Linked DNA regions of Ovis aries. Each later gene encodes a partner of the first gene's protein in a complex. Links are inferred from orthologs where the notes say so. Each region holds a gene or a part of one and is shown in the gene's direction. Other genes may lie near its edges.

The links.
Region 2: TAF3 (region 1) and TBP share a complex: the UniProt entries of both Homo sapiens proteins name them as parts of the TFIID basal transcription factor complex. The link is inferred for Ovis aries from reciprocal best matches to the Homo sapiens genes TAF3 and TBP.
Region 3: TAF3 (region 1) and TAF13 share a complex: the UniProt entries of both Homo sapiens proteins name them as parts of the TFIID basal transcription factor complex. The link is inferred for Ovis aries from reciprocal best matches to the Homo sapiens genes TAF3 and TAF13.
Region 4: TAF3 (region 1) and transcription initiation factor TFIID subunit 9-like share a complex: the UniProt entries of both Homo sapiens proteins name them as parts of the TFIID basal transcription factor complex. The link is inferred for Ovis aries from reciprocal best matches to the Homo sapiens genes TAF3 and TAF9.
Region 5: TAF3 (region 1) and TAF5 share a complex: the UniProt entries of both Homo sapiens proteins name them as parts of the TFIID basal transcription factor complex. The link is inferred for Ovis aries from reciprocal best matches to the Homo sapiens genes TAF3 and TAF5.

Annotation. Positions count from the first base shown.
Region 1 is NC_056066.1:12,225,491-12,230,175, forward strand, and holds the start of TAF3 (transcription initiation factor TFIID subunit 3), read left to right. Parts: upstream 1-1,644; 5' UTR 1,645-1,851; coding exon 1,852-2,017; intron 2,018-4,685. UniProt on the Homo sapiens protein: The TFIID basal transcription factor complex plays a major role in the initiation of RNA polymerase II (Pol II)-dependent transcription.
Region 2 is NC_056061.1:91,733,159-91,738,050, forward strand, and holds the start of TBP (TATA-box-binding protein), read left to right. Parts: upstream 1-1,668; 5' UTR 1,669-1,917; intron 1,918-4,892. Other genes in the region: PSMB1 (proteasome subunit beta type-1), read right to left, coding at 1,414-1,526. UniProt on the Homo sapiens protein: The TFIID basal transcription factor complex plays a major role in the initiation of RNA polymerase II (Pol II)-dependent transcription.
Region 3 is NC_056054.1:86,377,537-86,382,085, reverse strand, and holds the start of TAF13 (transcription initiation factor TFIID subunit 13), read left to right. Parts: upstream 1-1,451; 5' UTR 1,452-1,495; coding exon 1,496-1,522; intron 1,523-2,317; coding exon 2,318-2,396; intron 2,397-4,549. UniProt on the Homo sapiens protein: The TFIID basal transcription factor complex plays a major role in the initiation of RNA polymerase II (Pol II)-dependent transcription.
Region 4 is NC_056065.1:58,198,188-58,201,817, forward strand, and holds transcription initiation factor TFIID subunit 9-like, read left to right. Parts: upstream 1-1,950; 5' UTR 1,951-2,088; coding exon 2,089-2,874; 3' UTR 2,875-3,005; downstream 3,006-3,630. UniProt on the Homo sapiens protein: The TFIID basal transcription factor complex plays a major role in the initiation of RNA polymerase II (Pol II)-dependent transcription.
Region 5 is NC_056075.1:23,657,079-23,661,713, forward strand, and holds the start of TAF5 (transcription initiation factor TFIID subunit 5), read left to right. Parts: upstream 1-1,451; 5' UTR 1,452-1,488; coding exon 1,489-2,047; intron 2,048-4,325; coding exon 4,326-4,563; intron 4,564-4,635. UniProt on the Homo sapiens protein: The TFIID basal transcription factor complex plays a major role in the initiation of RNA polymerase II (Pol II)-dependent transcription.

The DNA of each region.
Region 1 (4,685 bases):
GAGGAACACAGCTTAGACAGAACACAGAATAGGAACACAGAATAGAGGAGGGGAGGAAGGAACACTCCAGAAGCTTTTAGAAGAAAAAAGCAAAAACGGGTAAAGACTGAGTAGGTGAGTCAATACAGCCTGGCTTCCTATAGGCTGAATCTAGCTTAAATGTGGGATTAGTTTGGCTTGCAAATATATTCCCAGGACTTCCCTGGTGGCATGTACAGTGAATAAGAATTTGCCTGCCAATGCAGGGGACAGGGGTTTGATCCCTGGTTCAGGAAGATTCCAGGTGCCAAAAAGCAACTGAGCCCATGAGCACAACTACTGAGCCCACTCTCTGGAGTCCGAGAGTCACAACTACTGAAGCCTAGAGCCTGTGCTCTGCACCAAGAGGAGCCGCCTCAACGAGAAGCCCACACACCACAATCAAGACCCAGCTCAGCCAAATAAATAGAATAAAAATTTTTTTAATGTATCTCAATAGTTAAAAATATTGATCGAGCTACTGATCACAAAACCCCGATTTCCTGCAGCTCCCTAAGATCTGGTAGCCCTTACCTGGAGTGGGGAATCTAGAGCAGGCAACAGATCTTCATACACCCAGCTGGATTTAAGGACTTTGACCTCCGTAGGCAACTGAGTCCTCTCTTCCTTTGCCAGATCCTAGACGCTGGTGAGAAGGCAAAGGAACCCCACTTCAATACTCTTGCCTGGAAAATCCCATGGACGGAGGAGCCTGGTGGGCTGCAGTCCACGGGGTCGCGAGGAGTCGGACACGACTGAGCGACTTCCCTTCACTTTTCACTTTCATGCATTGGAGAAGGAAATGGCAACCCACTCCAGTGTTCTTGCCTGGAGAATCCCAGGGATGGGGGAGCCTGGTGGGCTGCCGTCTATGAGGTCGCATAGAATCGGACACGACTGAAGCGACTTAGCAGCAGCAGCAGCAGCAGCAGCAGCAGCAGACGCTGGTGAAGGGAACACTGGCAAACTCTTGCCCACCAGCATGCCACCCGTTTCGGTAAATAAAATTTTATCGGAACCAGGGCTGCGATTTGAAAGAGGTGCCCCGAGACAGGAAAGGGGCAGGGTAGTAGCTCGGATTTTTAAATAATTGTGTTAAAATACTAGTAATTTTCATTGTTTTCTGCTGTCCCCTTAAATTGTGGTGGTCAGCGCCAAACAGGCCACATCTTACACCCTGCCCTACTGTGAAGGGTTTCGAATGACATGATTAACCGCTTGGACCTGATTTAATCTATACAATGGTAAACAGATCTTTTTTTTTTTTTTTTTTTAGCAGAGGCGTGATTAGATTCGCGACTGTACGTTTCCACGCCCCTAAATCCCACTCTTACATTTACAGCCTCTCGGGTTCTCACTTCTCTCTAACACCCACATCCTGGCTCCTTCTTCGGGCCCTGAACCATTGACGGTGCCCTCCCCAGTCCCCTCCGAGAGAGTACCCCAGGAGGCCCCAGGAACCTGCCTCCTCTGGCGCATCCCTCACCTGCGCCCCGCGCCGCCGTTTCCTGCATCCTTCCAGGCCCGAGAGTCAAACCGGGACCATCGCTCTGCTACAACGGGGCGGAGCTTCCGCATCGGCCCGCTCCTCACTCGGCTAGTGCTGCCTCGCCCCGGCGACCATCCAGCGGGAGGCGGAGCAAGTCCAAAATGGCGGCTCTCAGGCTGGCGCGCTCCGTGCTGCTGAGGCTTTGAGGTGGTCGCCGGGGGTCGGAGGGGGACGATTTCCCCGCCGCGGAGGCCTTGGAGAATGAATCGGGGGCCCTGCTAAGGCTAGGCGGCGGAGGTGGAGAGAAGTGGCGGCACGGACTGCGGTGGAGTCCACGGAGCGGGATGTGCGAGAGTTACTCCAGGTCGTTGTTGAGGGTCTCGGTGGCGCAGATCTGCCAGGCGCTGGGCTGGGACTCGGTGCAACTGAGCGCCTGCCACCTTCTCACGGACGTGCTGCAACGCTACCTGCAGCAGCTGGGACGGGGCTGCCACCGGTACTCGGAGCTGTGTGAGTACGGGGCTGGGGACGGGAGGCTGCCTGGCCGGTCACGAGTGACACCTCCGCGCTCCCCTGTGCTCTCCCGGCGTCCGGGAGGTGTTGGTCCTTCGCCCTCACCCCGCGATCGGGTGTCTTCTCGCCCCCTGACGCTCCTCCGCTCCCACTGCCCGTGGAAACTCGAGTCATCCCTCTGCTGCCTCTTCGCCAGCCGCTAACTTATCCCGCGTGCAGCAGGAGCCGGGTCCCCGCTCCCAGCTCCACACCCTCTGCCCTCCTCTCTGATCTGGACATCGGCCTTAATCATCGTCTCCTTTGGCAGCGTGCAGAACCCCCTCCAGAACGCCTTACAGCCTCTGTTAGTTTGGTCCTTTCCCTCCCCTTGCCCGCAAACTACTACAACTAGTTGTCACAGGCGCTCCGTCTACCGGCCGTTTCTTACAAGCCTGGCCGTTCTTCAGCTCCTGACAACACAGACTCGTTGACAGCTCTGCTCCGTTAGGGACACTGCCTCTTCTTTCTGTTTCTGTTCGTTTCACGGGCAGCATCTCTACCAACTTGGTCAGTTTCACTTATGTTCACTTTCATTTACGTCTCAATTGATTTCCTCCTCGTCTGTATTTTTATGTCAGTGGTTATCAGAGTGTGGTAGAGAGATCATAGGCAGTTTACAAGCTTCCCCAGGTAGTCTGGGCTACAGCAGATGGTTTTTAAGTGAATATCTGGTAGTACCTGTTCTTTAGTGGCTAAGTCATGTCTGACTCTTTAGTGACTCCCTGGGCTGGATCCCACCAAACTCCCGTGTCCATGCGGTTTCCCAGGCAAGAAGACTGAAGTGGATTGCCTTTTCCTCCTCCAGGGGGTCTTCCCCAGCCCAGTGACCAAACTGGCAGTCTCCTGCCTTAGCTGGTGGATTCTTTACCACGGGACCACCAGGGAAGCCCCAGGAGTATCTATAGCTGGTGGCATTTACAAAATTGGAATCTTTAATAGGTGCAACACATCATCTCATTGATAAGAAGTTTGTGTGTGGAGAGGGAACTGACTGACCCTCACTGAAGTTTCAGGGCATTATTTTTGAGGTGGTAAGCTGGAGAACCGGGTGAAGTGTTTCATGCAACATTTTGTTTTGTTAAGGTGGTTACTCCACTGAAAAATTGACACCCTTAGATACACTTTACTTCTTAGGTCCCAATTTCCATACCAACTTCCATCGTCCTATCAGAATAACCTGTCAGTCACGCCATAACACAAACCTGACTGTGTCATTCTTAAAAATATTCCAGTTAGTTACAGGCTGGGAATCCGAGCTCTCTAGCAGCACGCGCTTGCCTTTGTGAGCTCACATTTTCTTACTTTCTGCTGGCCTATCATCCACGGATAGCATGACTTCTGTTTTGAGATTCACTTATCATTTTGCTTTAGGAAACTCATCATATCTCTTCTCATAATTCTGTGCATATTTCTGCCATGTTAACTGAACATCTTGTTTGTTTTTTAAATGTATTTATTTGGCTGTGCTGAGTCTTGGTGGCGGCACGCGGGATCTTGGGTCTTCATTGAGGCTTTTGGGACCTAGTTCCCTAATCAAGGATGGAACCTGGGCCCCCTGCATTAGGAGCTCGGAGTCTTAGTCACTGAACCACCAGGGAAGTCCCTGAATACCTTATTTTGTAATCATCTGTGTATATCTCTCACCCTCTCCTCTTCCCTCCCCAGGAGACAAATTTATTATATTGGTGTTCAGTAGCCTAGTACAGTGCCATAATAGAATAGGCAGCCAGGAGATACTTGTTGAATAACTGAACTGATAAGCCACTACCATAATAATTATTTAGTCCTTTGACTTTTTGAGTTTTAAAAATGTGTAGTTTTGGACCCCTTGATTTCACAGCTGTGTCAAATCTGAACTTGAAGCTGCCGAGTGGCTCTCACTGACTGTTGTCTTGCTCGCGTACCACCAGCACACTGCTCTTTGCTTTTGCTTCATTTTCCTCCCTCCTCCCTTCCTGGCCCTTGTGTGAGTTTACTGTTACGGTATGCATGGGCCTGGTTATATTTTTTGCTCCCAAATTCCCTGAATGACGATGGCTGTTCTGTACCTTTAGGTCAAAATATCTGCAGAATACATAGTTACCTTTCCTGACTCACAGAACCAGATGGGTGCTGGCACTGCAAGCAGCCAGGTATTCTAGAGTCATGGGGTGACCCTTGTTTTGCCTGCATGTGAACCTCGTGGATAATTGCCCAGTCTCTGTAATGATTATCTTACTTTTAGTTGAGAATAGGATGATCCGGTTCATTACTCCTCATTGTGATCTGGTGACTTTTCAAAAATGCTACTTCCTGGTATACTTAACCGGTTACAGACTTTTTAAGGTTCTTTTTTCTCCACTATTCTTATTTCAGACTGGAATTAAATCCCCACTATGCAATCTTGTCTTCTGTTTCTTCATTTCTTTTGTCTTTCTAACACAACGTGTTTTGAGCACCACTTATATATTTGCTACCTGATGGAGACGTAGGATTACTTAGGCAAAATCCCTGCCCATAAGGTGTGTACAAGGGTGTTGAAATGTCAGTAAAAACAGAATGATGGCATTTGTTCCTTTTTAAAAAGATGCTTTTTCAGTAAAGCAGGTATCAGAAGTTACTATTAATTCAACAAATATTACATTTA
Region 2 (4,892 bases), on another chromosome or scaffold:
GGGTCTAATAACTCATTTTGTGATCCCACCACTTCATTAGTTGTCACAGGAAATATTTAAAAGTGCGATGATAAAAGCATTCATCAACTTCATAGCAACACAGGTATGGATTCAAGTCCTGGGGTTCAACTTCACACCAGCGCTATGACTAACAAAATTAAACTTCTAAGAGCCCAGGTTCATTTGTAAAATTGAGGTATATATCATCTAACAGTCAGTCATCATGAGGATTAAAAAGATACCTGCTTTCAATCTACAAAGTGCTTCTCTTTTGATTCTTCTCTCAAACTATGAGTAGCTAAGGAAGATAAGGAAATCTGGGTTCAAGGAGCTGAGAGGTAGGTACCAAACACTACACTGCTCTTTAGTGTCAGAGACAAGGCTAAAATCACACTTCCACCTTCTTTGCAAATACCCCAAAAATCTACATTAAAATTTCAAACCCATAAGACCTGAGTAATTAATCTGGTCTTTGGATGGTCCTTAAAGATTACCAGATTAATTTGGTGTGTACGTTTCAAAGTACAAAATTTGGCTGGCAAACTATAAACGATGCTTAAATACACAGCTCTTCGCAGTGAAGAGTCCTAAAGAGAGTGCCTTTCCACAACCCTAGTTCTTTCAGTGCACTGTCAAGGAAAAGTATTAAGATAAAGCGGGTAAGTTAAAAAGAAAGAAAAGCTCACATACAACATGCAAGAATACACACATTCAAAGGTCCGCCTTCTGAGTATTTTTCCCCTGAACTTACGCTAGCCCTTAAAACTAAACACTGATCAATGAAACTAAGTCTGTGCAAGTAATCCTACCTGCTATTTAAAACAACTCAAAATGGTGATTTGATTAGACCTATTAGCTAGACAGGGCTTCCCTGATGGCTCAGAGGTTAAAGCGTCTGCCTGCAATCGGGAGACCTGGGTTCGATCCCTGGGTCAGAAAGATTCCCCTGGAGAAGGAAATGGAAACCCACTCCAGTATTCTTGCCTGGAGAATCCCATGGACGGAGGAACCTAGTGGGCTACAGCCCATGGGGTCGCAGAGTCGGACACGACTGAGCGACTTCACTTTCGCTAGACAGCTATATTTAATCACATGGCCAATCAACCCTAACTTTTAATCTCAGATGTTCAACCTGCCCCGTGCCTGCTGGCTAGAGAAGCACATTCAGACAGGTCCATTTTTAAAGCTCTTCAGAGCGGAGGTCAGGTGTCAATTTCTATCTGCTGTCTACGTAAAGCTGGCCATCCACATCAAGATCCAGTGACCCGCCTATAAGGTGAAGCCCTGAAGAACAAGAGCTAGCCGAGCAACCTCGGAGAGGGAGGCCTGAGACTGGAAGGGCAGCGCCGGGCAGACAGACTTAAGCAGGGATATGGAGGAAGAAAGAGAAAGCGGCGGCTCTGCGGGTTTTACCCTCCGTTGAAAGCGTAGGGCGAAAAGCGCAGCTGCAAAGGGCCCACGGAGCTGTGCGGTTCCATGGCCAGGTCTCGGCCCGCGCCCGAGTACGAGGCAACGGAGGACAACATTCCGCGGCTGCTCTCCTGCTGTCTCACGGCAAGATGGCTGCCTCGACCGGAAATTGTGCCGTTTCCGGTTTCCGCGGCGCTGCCTCCGGCCGCTCTATCTCGCGCCAGTCGTTGCTCCTGGAGGCCAGAGCCCTCCCTTTCCAGTCGGTAGCTATTGCCTGCTCTACGAAGAGACCTGGCAGTGAGGTACAGGCTTTCTTTTCCAGGCAAATATTCGAAATCACTCGTGATGGATAGAAATTTTAAAGTCTGAGCTTACAAAGACATTGGAAAAACTATGGAGCAACGGAAACTCGAAGAGTCTATTGAAGTGTAAATTCGGAAAGGGACTGGCATTACTTGACATAGTTGAAAATACACACACATCATGACCCAGCAGTTTCACGCCGAGGTATGTACCCTGGCCAGAAGACGTGAAAGAATGTTCATAAAGATGTTCTTAATGGCCCCAAACTGGAAATGAGCTAAATATCCATAAACTGCAGAATGGATAAAGCAACTGAGGGATGTGGATGTGCAAAAGCAAGCAAATTAACTGACTTTGGCTAGAGGGAAAGGTCCTCCTTGGCTAGGGATGGGTTGGAGGTTGTAGTGCTAGCAATACTGGGTTTCTTTACTTGATTTAATGTTTGCCTGCTCAGTAGATCAGGCGTGTCCGACTCTGCGACCACACGGACTATGCCCATCAGGCTCCTCTGTCCATGGGGTATTTACAGGCAAGACTACTGGAGCAGGTTGACATTTCCTCCAAGGGATCTTCCTCCCCCAGGGATCGAACGCCCATCTCCCGTGTCTCTTGTACTGGCAGGCAGGTTCTTGGCCAACGAGCCACCAGAGGAGCCCTTGGTTGCTGTTGCTCAGTCGCTAAGTCGTGTCTAACTCTTTGCAACCCCATAAACTGCAGCCCGATAGGTTTCCCTGTCCTTCACTATCTCCCAGAATTTGCTCAAACCCATGTCCATTGTGTTGATCACATCCAACCATCCCATCTTCTGTTGCCCCCCGCCCCCCTCCTCCAGGCTTCCTTCTCCTGCCCTCATTCTTTTCTAGCGTCAGGGTCTTTTCTAATGAATCAGCTCTTTGCATCAAGTGGCCAAAGTATTGGAGCTTCAGCTTCAGTCTTTCCAATTAATGTTTAGGGTTGATTTCCTTTAAGATTGACTGGTTTGATCTCCTTGCTGTCCAAGGGACTCTCAAGAGTCCCTCCAACACCACAGTTCAATTCTTTGGCACTCAGCCTTCTTTATGGTCCAACTCTCACATCTGTACATAACTCTGGAAAAATCACAGCTTTGCCTATACAGACATTACCAGCAAAGTGATGTCTCTGATTTTTAATACACTGTCTCGGTTGGTCATAGCTTTCCTTCCAAGGAGCAAGCGTCTTTGAATTTCATGGCTGCAGTCGCTGCAGTGATTTAGGAGCCCAAGATCAAATCTGTCACTGTCTCCACTGTTTCCCCGTCTATTTGCCATGAAGTGATGGGACCGGATGCCATGATCTTCATTTTCTGAATGTTGAATTTTAAGCCAGCTGTTTCACTCTCCTCTTTCATCCTCATCAAGAGGCTCTTTAGTTCCTTTTCGCTTTCTGCCATTAGAGTGGTATCATCTGCATATATGAGGTTGTTGATATTTCTCCAGGAAATCTTGATTCCAGCTTGAGGTTCATCCAGCCACACATTTTGCATGATGTACTCTTCATATAAGTTAAATAAGCAGGATGACAGTGTACGGCCTTGATGTCCTCCTTTCCCAGTTTTGAACCCGTCCATTGTTCCATGTCTGGTTCTGTTGCTTCTTGACCTGCATACAAGTTTCTCAGGTGATAGATAAACTGGTCTGGTATTCCCATCTCTTTAAGAATTTTCCATTGTTTGTTGTGATCCACACAGTCAAAGGCTTTAGTGAAGTCAATGAAGCAGAAGTAGATGTTTTCCTGGAATTCCCTTGCTTTCTCTATGATCCAATGGATGTTGGCAATTTGATTTCTGGTACCTCTGCCTTTTCTAAATCCAGCTTGTACATCCGGAAGTTCTTGGTTTATGTACTGCCCTTACTTGATTTAATACCATCTATTAATCTGTATACATGTTTACATACTTCTTTATATGAATATCATATTTTACAATTTAAAAATGTTAATTAAAAAAAGCAAGCAAGCCTTTGACTAATATAGAATGGACTGCCTGATATATACATGCAATTCTGGAAGCAGAAAAAGATTTTTGAAAAGTACTTTTTTTAATTAAAACTTTTCCTATACTTTACTGTAAACAAAGCATAAAAGAAAGGGTTTTCTTTGATGGTTATGGACAGAGAAGTATTGTATTTATTCAGGTACTGTCTTGGATACAAAAATTCTGTAAAATCTTTCCTATCCTTAAGGAGCACACAACCTCATTGATTATGTGAAGCACAAAGGAAGCAAGCTAACAAGCATTACAACCTGCAATTATGCCTAAATGAACCATAGGATATTAGAGATACCAAAGGAACATTTCATGCAAAGATGGGCATAATAAAGGACAGAAGTGCTATGGACCTAACAGAAGCAGAAGATATTAAGAAAAGATGGCAAGAATACACATAAGAACTATACAAAAAAGCTCTTTATGACCCAGATAACCACAATGGTGTGATCACTCACCTAGAGCCAGGCATCCTGGAATGTGAAGTCAACTGGGTTTTAGGAAGCGTCACTACGGACAAAGCTAGTGGAGGTGATGGAATTCCAGTTGAGCTATTTCAAGTCCTAAAATATGCTGCTGTGAAAGTGCTGCACTCAACATGCCAGCAAATTTGGAAAACTCAGCAGTGGCCACAGGACTGGAAAAGGTCAGTTTTCATTCCAATCGCAAAGAAAGGCAATGCCAAAGAGTGTCCAAACTACTGCACAATTGCACTCATCTCACATGCTAGCAAAGTAATGCTCAAAATTCTCCAAGCCAGGCTTCAACAGTACTTGAACTGAGAACTTCCAGATGTTCAAGCTGGATTTAGAAAAGGCAAAGGAACCAGAGATCAAATTCCCAACATCCACTGGATCATTGAAAAAGCAAGAAAGTTCCAGAAAAACATCTATTTCTACTTTATTGACTATGCCAAAGCCTTTGACTGTGTGGATCACAACAAACTGTGGAAAATTCTGAAAGAGATAAGAATAGCAGACCATCTTACCTGCCTCCTGAGAAATCTGTATGCAGGCCAAGAAGCAACAGTTAGAACCGGACATGGAACAACAAACTGGTTCCAAATAGAGAAAGGAGTATGTCAGGACTGTATGTTGTCACCCTGCTTATTTAATTTATGTGCAGAGTACATCCTGTGAAATGCCGGGCTGGATGAAGCACAAGCTGGAATCAA
Region 3 (4,549 bases), on another chromosome or scaffold:
CAGGTCAGGAAGCGACAGTTAGAACTGGACATGGAACAACAGACTGGTTCCAAATAGGAAAAGGAGTACGTCAAGGCTGTAATATTGTCATCCTGCTTATTTAACTTATATGCAGAGTACATCATGAGACACGCTGGGCTGGAAGAAGCACAAGCTGGAATCAAGATTGCTAGGAGAAAATCACTAACCTCAGATATGCAGATGACACCACCCTTATGGCAGAAAGTGAAGAACTAAAGAGCCTCTTGATAAAAGTGAAAGAGGAGAGTGAAAAAGTTGGCTTAAAGCTCAACATTCAGAAAACTAAGATCATGGCATCCGGTCCCATCACTTCATGGCAAATAGATGTGGAAACAGTGGCTGACTTTGTTTTTGGGGGCCCCAAAATCACTGCAGATGGTGATTGCAGCCATGAAATTAAAAGACGCTTACTCCTTGGAAGGAAAGTTATGACCAACCTAGACAGCATATTAAAAAGCAGAGCCATAACTTTGTGAACAAAGGTTCGTCTAGTCAAAGCTATGGTTTTTCCAGTAGTCGTGTATGGATGTGAGAGTTGGACTATAAAGAAAGCTGAGCGCCAAAGAATTGATAATTTTGAACTGTGGTGTTGGAGAAGACTCTTGAGAGTCCCGTGGACTGTAAGGAGATCCAATCAGTCCATCCTTAGGGAGATCTGGCTGTTCATTGGAAGGACTGATGTTGAAGCTGAAACTCCAATACTTTGGCCCCCTGATGTGAAGGGCTGACTCATTTGGAAAGACCCTGATGCTGCGAAAGATTGAGGGCAGGAGAAGAGTACGACAGAGGATGAGATGGCTGGATGGCATCACCGACTCAGTGGACATGAGTTTGGGTAAACTCCGGGAGTTAGTGATGGACAGGGAGGCCTGGCGTGCTCTGGCTCATGGGGTCGCAAAGAGTCGGACACGACTGAGCGACTGAACTGAACTGGACTGCAGCCCGCCAGGCTCCTTTGTCCTTGGGATTTCCCAGGCAGGAATACTGTAGTGGTTTGCCATTTCCTTCTCCAAGGGATCTTCCCTACACAGAGATCGGACCCAGGTCTTCCACTGAAAGCAGATTCTTTACCATCTGAGTCACCAGGGAAGCCCTGGCAATAAATCATAGTGGAACTCTAAGTTGTTCAAATTGTTTAAATTCACCCCTGTCTAGCCCCTCAATGATCCAAAGCTTCACAGGACCGAATCAGGAAGCGGAGATCTGATACGCAGAAGAAAGCTCAAGGTGACAACGAGATACACGCCATCTAGCTCATCCCTTTTCTATGCTAATGTTTAATTCCTACTTTCCAAGACTTTATCCTTCGCTGTTCAGGTTTCACCGCTGGGCGGGAGGTGCTTGTTCCTCTTCCACAGGGGAGGTTCCGCTAGGCCCCGCCCCGGCCCCTCTCGTCACCGGAAATGAGGCAGCGGAAGTAGTAAAAAGCTCTCCGAGGAAGGCGGGCGCGCAGTGGAGGCGGCTGGCTGGTGGGATGGCAGATGAAGAAGAGGATCCCACCGTGAGTGACCGCCTCTGTTCCAACCTACTTTTTAATTTACTACCTCGAGCACAGTAGCGGAAGCATAGTGGAGAATTGGGTTTCTTTACCTCAGTGATTCTGCCGAGAGAATCGGGGACTTCTCCCCGGGCTAGCCTTTTTCTTCTGATTCATCCTTTTAGTAAGCGGGGCTGGAGGAGTAGGTGGCTCCCCGCCCTTTACCTTTGGTTCATATTTGCCAGATACCCTTTGAATCACCTAGAGAATCATCAGGGGGCAAAGCTAGTGTTTGTTAGGGCTCATTATGCAACAACAATTCAAGTGCTAAGAAAACTGTACACTTTACTGTAAAGTAGTGGAAAAATAATGGACTCAAGTCACTGAGCAAGTAATTGAGCCTCAGTTTTCATGTCATAAAATAGGCTTAAGGTTTACTTGAGGAAAGTTCTTAGCACTGTGTAGGAAATGCTTAACAAATACTAGTTTTGCTTGCTTTCATTCAATATCAACTCTTTTAATAGTAAAACTATCTAGAAATAGGCCAACTTAGTTTAAAAAAAGAATGTATGGTCGTTGGAACTCCCCCAGGAGAAGCAGTACGATGCCTAACGGGGCATTGTAGAAGCCACTCCTGCGTGAGTCTGAAGTTGGGCGAGATAGTTTTAATGCCCCCAAAATGCTAAAGTTTCATTGTTTTTTGCTGCTTGCTTTAGGCTTTCTGGCATGATACTGGTGTTGAAGATGTAAAAAAAAAAAAAGCTAATTATTAAAATGTCAGAAGCAGTGTTTGACATATCTATACGTTTTAACTTTCAGTTTGAGGAAGAAAATGAAGAAATTGGAGGAGGTGCAGAAGGTGGACAGGGTAAAAGAAAGAGACTTTTTTCTAAAGAATGTAAGTAGTACTTGAGAATGATTTTTTAATAGTTTCCTTGTAGGGACACTATTCTCAGACTTCCGTATAAATTCTGTTTAACCTGTGATTCATAGATAGTAATGATCCTAACCCCAATTTATATATTTAACCCCAATTTATATATTTATATATATGTGTGTATATATGGGCTCACACAGACATACGTTTTTAAATTTTTTAAGTAAATACATGTGATCAGTGTTTCAATTCAGGTCCCAAGTAAGAACGTACCTCCGTTACTTTACCTGTTCCTTACCTTTCATCAGTTGGAGCAGGGACTCCTTTGAATGTAAGCCGAAGGTTCTGTTGGACCCTGAACAGGTCTGAGGGTAGGAATTAAGTTGGGACTTTGAACTAAGGCAATGGACAAGGCAGGAAGATGGTGAACAATGTGAGGCAGTCCAGTGACATGGAGATCATAAAGTTTTGGGTCTATTCTCCTCCTTCAGTAGACGGGTTTGACCTTTTATGGCAGTGGCAAGAGGAGCTGATTCTATTACTGATGATTCAGGCCAGCCCCTGAAAGGCACCATGAGAACATGCTCTCCATCTTCCAGTCCTGGTCCTTTATACATAGTTATGGCTGAGTGTAGATCAGGCAACACATGGAACACTTGGTTTACTTATGCCAGTTCCGACATAAGCAGTTCCTAAATGCTCTTGAAACTACAGAGTCAAGTAGTTTGGTTTTTTAAGCCATTCAAATCCTTTCCTATATCTCAATTTCTCACCTAAAGTTGACTGCTCATTATTCCATTTCTGATGTTATTTACTCCATTCGTATATGGTTTTACGTCTTATGGAGACTTCCCTGTAGCTCAAACAGTGAAGAATCTGCCTGCGAGGCAAGAGACCAGGGTTCGATCCCTTGGTTGGGAAGTTCCTCTTGAGGAGGGAATGGCACTCCACTCCAGTATTCTTCCCTGGAGAATTCCATGGACAGAGAAGCCTGGCGGGCTACAGTCCTTGAGGTCGCAAAGAGTCGACACGACTGAGTGACTAACACAGTTACTTCTTAGGTAGGCATAAGAGGATTACTGCACCAGAGCATCGCATAGTGATGCTAGCATACTTCTTACCAGAGCCTTTGTTCCACTTGGATTTCTTTATTTTTATGATGACAAGAATTCGGAATCTTCACAGCTGTTTCTTTGTCTTACCTGAATTTTCATGTATCTTGACCAAGATCTGTTCTTCTAGACATTCTTTGTTTTAAAAATATTTTTTGCTAATATAACACAAGATTTCAAAGCATTCACTTCTCTATTTGTTTGTCTTTACAGACTCTTTAACCAAATACGGTTTACATACTTCCTATCTAATAAGTTTTTCCTTTTCCAGTGAAGTATGTTTCCCTACTGATGAATTCTCCCCATCACAATGTTAATGACAGTATTTTCCTCAAAATATTTAAGAGAAAATATTAAATTTATAGTGGAGAATCCAGTCCTGGCAGACATTACTTTAGTCAGGTGATCAAAGTTAGTATCACCAGTAATATATGTTGACATTAGGTACTCCTAATATGGTGCATTAAGGGGTCCATCATCACTCTGATTCCCTTCTAGTAATGCATAAGCACAACCTAATCATGAGGACACATCAGATAAACCGAAGCTGAAGGACACGCTACAAGATAACTGACCAGTATTCTTCAGAAGTGTCAAGGTTGTAAAAGACAAGGAAAGTTTGAGGAACTGTTACAGAACAGAGGAAACTAAGGAGACACGACAACTAGTGTGGGATCCTGGAACAGAAAAAGTACAGTAGTGGGAAAACTGGTGCAATCTGAGAAGTGCTGTACTTGTACCAGTGTTAGTTTCTTAGTTTTGATAAATGTCTTTGGTTGTGTAAGATGTTAACATAAGGGGAAACTGGATATAGGGATTCTGGAACTCCATGCTATTTTTGCAGCCCTTTAAATCTGAAATGACCTTAAAAAGATTTTTTTTCCAGAGTCCCAAAAAAAAGAGAAGGGAGAAAATATTGCCTCTTGTGTTTGTTTTCTCCCTCCTGTATCTGAACCTAAAGATTCTTGCCAGGATAAACCCTCCAGGGCACTTCTCTATCCCAGACTGGCTTCTGGGTCATCCCTTTCTTTTCTCCTTTTTTTTCTTCCATGGGCCTGGTCT
Region 4 (3,630 bases), on another chromosome or scaffold:
AATGACACCACCCTTATGGCAGAAAGTGAAGAGGAGCTAAAAGCCTCTTGATGAAAGAGAAAGAGGAGAGTGAAAAAGTTGGCTTAAAGCTCAACATTCAGAAAATGAAGATCATGGCATCTGGTCCCATCACTTCATGGGAAATAGATGGGAAACAGTGGAAACAGTGTCAGACTTTATTTTGGGGGGCTTCAAAATTACTGCAGATGGTGACTGCAGCCATGAAATTAAAAGACACTTACTCCTTGGAAGAAAAGTTATGACCAACCTAGATAGCATATTCAAAAGCAGATATATTACTTTGCCGACTAAGGTCCATCAAGGCTATGGTTTTTCCAGTAGTCATGTATGGATGTGAGAGTTGGACTGTGAAGAAGGCTGAGCGCTGAAGAATTGTTGCATTTGAACTGTGGTTTTGGAGAAGACTCTTGAGAGTCCCTTGGACTGCAAGGAGATCCAACCAGTCCATTCTGAAGGAGATCAGCCCTGGGATTTCTTTGGAAGGAATGATGCTAAAGCTTAAACTCCAGTCCTTTGGCCAGCTGATGCGAAGAGCTGATTCATTGGAAAAGACTTTGATTCTGGGAGGGATTGGGGGCAGGAGGAGAAGGGGACGACAGAGGATGAGATGGCTGGATGGCATCACTGACTCGATGGACATGAGTCTGAGTGAACTCCGGAATTTGGTGATGGACAGGGAGGCCTGGCATGCTGCGATTCTTGGGGTCTCAAAGGGTTGGACATGACTTAGCGACTGAATGAACTGAGCTGAACTGATGCTGAAGCTTCAATAATCTGCCTACCTGATGTGAAGAGCCAACTCTTTGGAGAAGACTCTAATGCTGAGAAAGATTGAAGGCCGGAGGAGAAAAAGGTGACAGAGGATGAAATGGTTGGATAGCATCACTTACTCAATGGAGATGAGTTGAACAAGCTCTGGGAGATAGTGAAGTACAGGGAACCCTGTTGTCCTGCAGTCTACGTGGTTGCAAAGAGTCAGACATGACTTAGCGACTGAATAACAATAACAACAATGTAGTATTTGGTTACTATTGACCTTCTGATGACACCTCAAAAGGAGGCATATCCACTTTATGTGATCCCAGATCACTGAGACATGATGATGTGGATGGCTGGATATCTAGAGCAGACAATGTCAATCACTAAGGATCCTCAGAGGGATGAAGCAGGACAGCAAAAGATTTCATCACATTCCTTGGAATGGCAAAGAATTTAAATGTGAATTGTTTGTTTCTGGAATTCTCGTTTGATATTTTCAGACTGTGGTTGACCACAGGTAAGTGAAACTCTGGAAATAAAAACTGTGGATAAGAGGAAACAACTGTATATAAAATATGATATATATTGCAGTATATTGCAGTTCCTTGGACTGCAAGGATATCTCACCTGTCAATCCTAAAGGAATATTCACTGGATAGACTGATGCTGATGCTGAAACTCCAATGCTTTGGCCACCTGATGCAAAGAGCCGACTCATTGGAAAAGATCCTGATGCTGAGAAAGATTGAAGGTGGGAGGAGAAGAGGATGACAGAGGATGAGATGGCTGGATGGCATCACTGACACAATGGACATGAGTTTGAGTAGGCTCCTGGAGTTGGTGATGGACAGGGAATCCTGGCATACTGAAGTCCATGGGGTCGCAAAAAGTCAGACACGACTGAATGACTGAACTGAGCTGATATTGCAGTAAAAACGGATGAATACAAGAATATTTTCTTTATCAAAGATAAAAAGCATGATCGATATGCTAGGAACTGTTTCCTAAGTTATTTCCTATATTAACATGTTTAACTGATATATAAAAATACAGTGAAATATTGAAGTATTATTACCTCCATTTTGCATAATGAATTATTATTAGCTCCATTATTACCTCCACTGGGTATAGAGAATGTGTATAAAAACCTAATTTAAAAAAAAAAAAGCGATGTTGCTTCCGAACATCCTGCTCACCGGTACACCAGGGGTTGAAAAAACTACATTAGGCAAAGAACTTGCATCAAGATCAGGACTGAAATACGTTAATGTGGGTGATTTAGCTCGAGAAGTTTGATCACCGGATATCATGGAGTCTGGCAAGATGGCTTCTCCCAAGAGCATGCCGAAAGATGCACAGATGATGGCACAAATCCTGAAGGATATGGGGATTACAGAATATGAACCAAGAGTTATAAATCAGATGTTGGAGTTTGCCTTCCGATATGTAACCACAATTCTAGATGATGCCAAAATTTATTCAAGTCATGCTAAGAAAGCTACTGTTGACGCAGATGATGTGCGGTTGGCAATCCAGTGTCGTGCTGACCAGTCTTTCACCTCTCCTCCACCAAGAGATTTTTTATTAGATATTGCAAGGCAAAGAAATCAAACCCCTTTGCCATTGATCAAGCCATACTCAGGTCCTAGATTGCCACCTGATAGGTATTGCTTGACTGCTCCAAATTATAGACTGAAGTCTTTACAAAAAAAGGCATCTACTTCTGCAGGAAGAATAACGGTTCCACGGTTAAGCGTTGGTTCAGTTACTAGCAGACCAAGTACTCCCACGCTTGGCACACCAACCCCACAAGCCATGTCTGTTTCAACTAAAGTAGGGACTCCAGTGTCCCTCACAGGGCAAAGGTTCACAGTACAGATGCCCACTTCACAGTCCCCAGCTGTAAAAGCATCAATTCCTGCAACATCAGCTGTTCAGAATGTTCTAATTAATCCGTCATTAATTGGGTCCAAAAATATTCTTATTACCACTAACATGGTCTCATCACAAAATACTGCCAATGAAACATCAAACACATTGAAAAGGAAACATGATGACGATGATGACGACGACGATGACTATGATAACTTGTAATCTAGCCTTGACGCATGTAACTTGTATACTTGGTTTTGAATCTGTTGTACTGAGATTAAACATGCATGCTGGATATTTCCATGTTGTGTTCTAGAAAGAATAGTATTTAATGAGTAAATATGCTTACCATACTTTTTGATTGAGCTGTTGTGTTAGATTTTCTTTGATAGGATTAGTAATGGTTTCTCGTCACCCTTTAAGTGTAAAAAATAAAGTTGCAATTCGTGCATTTAAAAAAAAAAAAAGCAAATCCAGAAGACTGCATATAGAAGACTGCATACAGAATGCTACCTTATTTTACTAAAACTAAAAATCAAACAATGCTCAAGATTATGTTATTTAGGAATATATATGCAAGAAAAAATTTTCCAAGAATGGGTGTATTATATGGTTAAAAATTAAGAGAGTAATTATCTCCAGGAGATTAGCAGACCTACAGATGGGTGATAGCTTTGAAAGTATTAGCAATGGTCTAGCTCTTATGACTTTCCCGGCGGCTCAGAGAGTAAAGCGTCTGCCTACAAAGTGGGAGACCTGGGTTCAATCCCTGGGTTGGGAAGACATCCTGGAGAAGGAAATGGCAACCAACTCCAGTATTCTTGCCTGGAAAATCCCATGGATGGAGGAACCTGGTAGGCTACAGTCTACAGGGTTGCAAAGAGTTGGACACGACTGAGTGACATTTACTAATATTACTTTAGCTCTTATGACAGGTGGTAGATTCATAGTTGATGATTACAAGATGATGCTTCATAA
Region 5 (4,635 bases), on another chromosome or scaffold:
CAAGATTGTAAACTCACACCAGTGGCTACCTCTCCCATCACACTCAACCCTAGAGATGGCACTGAAATTGATAGATCAGTAAAAACTGTGAAACCTCTGAGGATATGTGTGTGTGCATGTGTGCATGTATGTTGATAAACAGGGAGTGATGGGGCCAACACATCACAGGTTTTCCTGTTTTGGGTGCATCCTTCACCTTTTACCAATGCTAGGCTTTAGCCTCTCCTTCTGGGTAGACAAGGTAGCTGATACCTTCCGGGAAATACAAATTCATAGAGAAAAGTAATGAGATGCAGAGGAAGGTGCAACTGCTAGTAAAGCAAGAAACTGAACAACTTAAATGCTCATCTCCTCCCCCCTCTCTGCCCTTGCCCCTACCCATGTTTCATAATCTTACATTATGTCAAATTCCACTAGTTTTATATTTCAGTCTTGAGATCACCATGTATGTCATGATTAGACTTTCTTAGGAAACATTTGCAGAACACCGCTTAAGGTTCAGTAAAAATAACCAATAGTTATTTATTATGTGTTTAGTTCAGTTCAGTTGCCCAGTGGTGTCCGACTCTTTGCGACCACACGGACTCTATCTTATTTAATCCTCACATAACTCGATCTTCCCCATGTCCCAAGTTCACTTTTCTTGTCTGCACCTATCTCATACCGTTGTGAGAGTCAAAGGAGACCAAATATGCAGCGCAGATTCTTTACCGTCTGAGCCACAACGTAAGTCCTCAAACATGCAGCAGTGCTTTTAAACCTATGAAGCATGTTGCAAAATGGCACATACTGTTTTAAAATATACAACTAAAATGCGGCCTGCTTGTAATAATGGTTAACATAGCACGAATACAGCATATACACATTTCACAATCACAAAATTCAGGTTCTTAAAAACTTTTTATTGAAATATAACATATATGCGTAAAGTTCACAAAACGTGAGCTTGCAGCCCAATTAATTTTTATAAGGCATAAATGGGAAAAAGAAAAGTAACCGCCATCCAGAAAAAAATATAAACATTACCAGTAACTCAGAAGCCTCCTTCTGGTAAATGATATATGCTTTTAAGATAAAGACCTGGTTTTGAATCTTGACGCTTTCCTCCTGTGTGACTTTGGCATTTAAAAAATGTCTTTAGGTCTTGATTCAGTCATCTGTATCGTGAGAATAATGGTACTTTATATGACTGCTGAATAAAAGGTCACATAATGTAAAACGTCCATCGCAGTGCCTGAAAAATAGCTGGTCTGTAATAAATGTAACTATTATCCGGCAAATGCAAGAGGCTGCCCCGACGTCCCACTTCCTGCCTTTTTGCCACTCACTTTTGAAAGTTGCTCTTGCTGCGATTCCTTTTTCTCCTTCTTTATCGCCCCTCCTACTGCCGTAAATTGCCCTCCAGAGATGTCGTAAAACGCTCCTCCCCGCCCTCCATATGGCGAAAACGCAATCACGCTTGACGGCGCGAGGTGGCTCAGCCGCAAGATGGCGGCGCTGGCAGAGGAGCAGACGGAGGTGGCGGTGAAGTTAGAGCCTGAGGGACCGCCGACGCTGCTACCTCCGCAGGCGGGGGACGGCGCTGGCGAAGGTGGCGGCGGCACAACCAACAGCGGCCCCAACGGCGGCGGCGGGAACGTTGCGGCGGCGTCGTCGGCCGGCGGGGATGGTGGGACCCCCAAACCCTCGGTGGCTGTCTCCGCCGTTGCACCGGCGGGGGCGGCCCCGGTGCCCGCCGCTGCTCCGGAGGCCAGCGCTCCCCACGACCGACAGACTCTGCTCGCCGTGCTGCAGTTTCTACGGCAGAGCAACCTCCGCGAGGCCGAAGAAGCGCTGCGCCGTGAGGCCCGGCTGCTGGAGGAGGCAGTGGCGGGCTCCGGAGCCCCGGGAGAGGCAGACAGCGCCGGCGCTGAGACAGCCAGCGCGCTTCTTAGCCGGGTCACCGCCTCGGCGCCCGGCCCTTCGGCCCCGGATCCTCCAGTCAGCGGCGCTTCGGGGTCCGCCGCCGTCTCGGGCTTAGCGACAGGTTCTGTGGCTCCGGGTAAAGGTGAGCCGCTGGGTCCGGGGTAGGCAGGACCGGCACGGCGGGGAGTGAGCCGGGAAGGCAGAGGCTGGCAGGCCTGCACCTCTGCGGGCTTGTTTTGAATTTCCTGGGCCCGCCTCTAGGGCCACATGCCCGCCCCTTTCCCTAGTGCGCCGGCTGCGCAGTCAAACCCTCTTCCGAGCTGTCAGTTCCAGCGAGAGGCTGTGGAGAGCTATTGAGCCGAAGGATGTATGGGGACGGTGGGCGCGGAGAGGCGGGAACTTCCAGGCTTTTGGTTCTTATTTGGGCTCTTGAGCTTTGGGCAGGGATGCAGCAACATTATTTGTACTAGCGTACTTTTACTATAAATATTTTGTGTTGTTTATCTTAATTTTCACAGTTCCACTGTGAGGTAGACAGTACTTCTATTTTAGAGATGAGAAACCAGACCGAGAAAGGCCAAGGTATTTGCTTTGGACCGCACAGCCAGAGAGTGGTGGTACATAGTGAAGCCAGTCTTTCTCAAAATATAGGCTAAATACCATTGGTATCAAATCTTTTAGAGAAATGCAGATTCCTGGGCATCACTTCAGACGTAGTGAATCAGATCCTGTGAAGGTGGAGTTTGGGAATCTGCATTTTCAAATAAATGCTTCAGGGACTTCCCTGGTGGTCCAGTGGTTAGGGAACGCATGTAAGAATTAAAGATTTTAAAATTTAAAAAATAAAAACTAAAAAAAAAAAAGAATCTGCCTTCCAACGTAGGGCATGTGGGAACGTGGTAGGGAACTAAGATCTCTCAAGCGTGGGGCAACTAGGCCCGCGCTCTGCAACTACTGAGCCCGCATGCGGCAAGGAAAAATCCTCGGAGCCGCTAGTAAGATCCAACGCAGCCAAAAATAAATAAATATTCTAAGGATTAAAAAAAAAAAATGCTTCCAAGAGATGTTGATCTATGGCAAGGTTTGAGACCCATTCATTTAGGAACAGGTATTGGACTTCAGTTTCTGTCTCTGTTGCTTTTACTTGTGTGATGCTGATTGTTACTCTTCCTAAGCTTGAGAGTTTTTTTCCTTCTATTAAACGGGTTATTGTGAGATTCATATATATGTAAAATGTCTGGCACTGACAAGTTTATGCCAAGTACCTATCCCTGACACCTGAGGCTCCCGCTCCCCTTTTCCTTCAGCAACTGTTGTCAAAAAGTCCATGCAGTAAAAGTCATATACAACATAAAGTTTCAAAGGTGATCCTGAGCCAGTAAAAAATGTTTATTGAATTAAATTACCCATTGTAGAGCCTCTTGCCAAATTAACCTGTGTTTATGAGACCTAATCTTGGCAGCATTTCCAGGAGTGAGGTATGAATAAGCGCTGTAACCCATAAGTAGAACTGTGTGCAAATGTGATTGAGAGGAATCTTTTTTGAATCTGAATTTGGGAATGAACTATAAGATGGATGAATTATGTGGTTGATTATTTTGCTATAATCTCTCATCTCTTTAGAAACTTGACCTTCAGATTGTAACTGAGAAACCAATAGAAAGGAAAAGAGGCCATCATAGTAACCAAAAAAACTGAAAATTTGTGCAGTAAAGAGCATAACAGTACTGTAATCACAACTTAAAAAAAATTTCCCACAAACCCTCATTTGATTGACAGATGTATCGTTGTTTGGTATTGAAATATTACAAATAAATACTCATGCTTTTTGCCTTGAAATGGTGGTTATGGAAATTGTTTTAAGCATATAAAATAGATTTATCTTTTGGAAATATAAAAGGCAAGTTCTTCCCACCATTAACATGGTTGTATTTTATAGGGAGTGATAGATGGACATACGTGAAGGTAACACAGGATAAGATATGTTGCTGAAAAGTTATAAAATACTCAGGTAGCTCAGAGGGCTGGGAATGTTACTCCAGGGCATGGCTTTGTGGTGGTGAGTGCCATTTGCACTGAGCCTTGAGAGAAGAGTAATACCGTTGTTTGATTTGCACATACCATGTTTTATAAAATTTGTTTTTAAAATAGTGAAGCTCTAGGAAAAATGCTGAATCTTTTTGCTGTTGATCTGAAAATTTTTATTTTAAGATGTGGACAAACCAAGGAAGTGTTGGATGGGTAACTGAAACAAACTGAATCCCATTAAAAGATTTTGTGATTGTGTCGGGGAAGAGTGTTTGAGAGGAGAGGGACAAACATCTGTGAAACAGTTCTCCTCTGGACCTTAACAAAACAGCCTTAGTCTTTTGGTGCTTGTCAGGTCATTTTCTTGAAGTTATTTTTCATTTTTTAAACAGTTGGAAGTGTAGCTGTGGAAGACCAGCCAGATGTCAGTGCCGTGCTCTCAGCCTACAGCCAACAGGGAGACCCCACGATGTATGAAGAATACTATAGCGGACTGAAACACTTCATTGAATGTTCCTTGGACTGCCATCGGGCAGAACTATCCCAACTCTTTTATCCCCTATTTGTACACATGTATTTGGAACTAGTCTACAATCAACATGAGAATGAAGCAAAATCATTCTTTGAGAAGTATGTGAATTTATAAAAAATATGTATATATAGCTATATATATACACACACACACAAAATGTTTATATACAT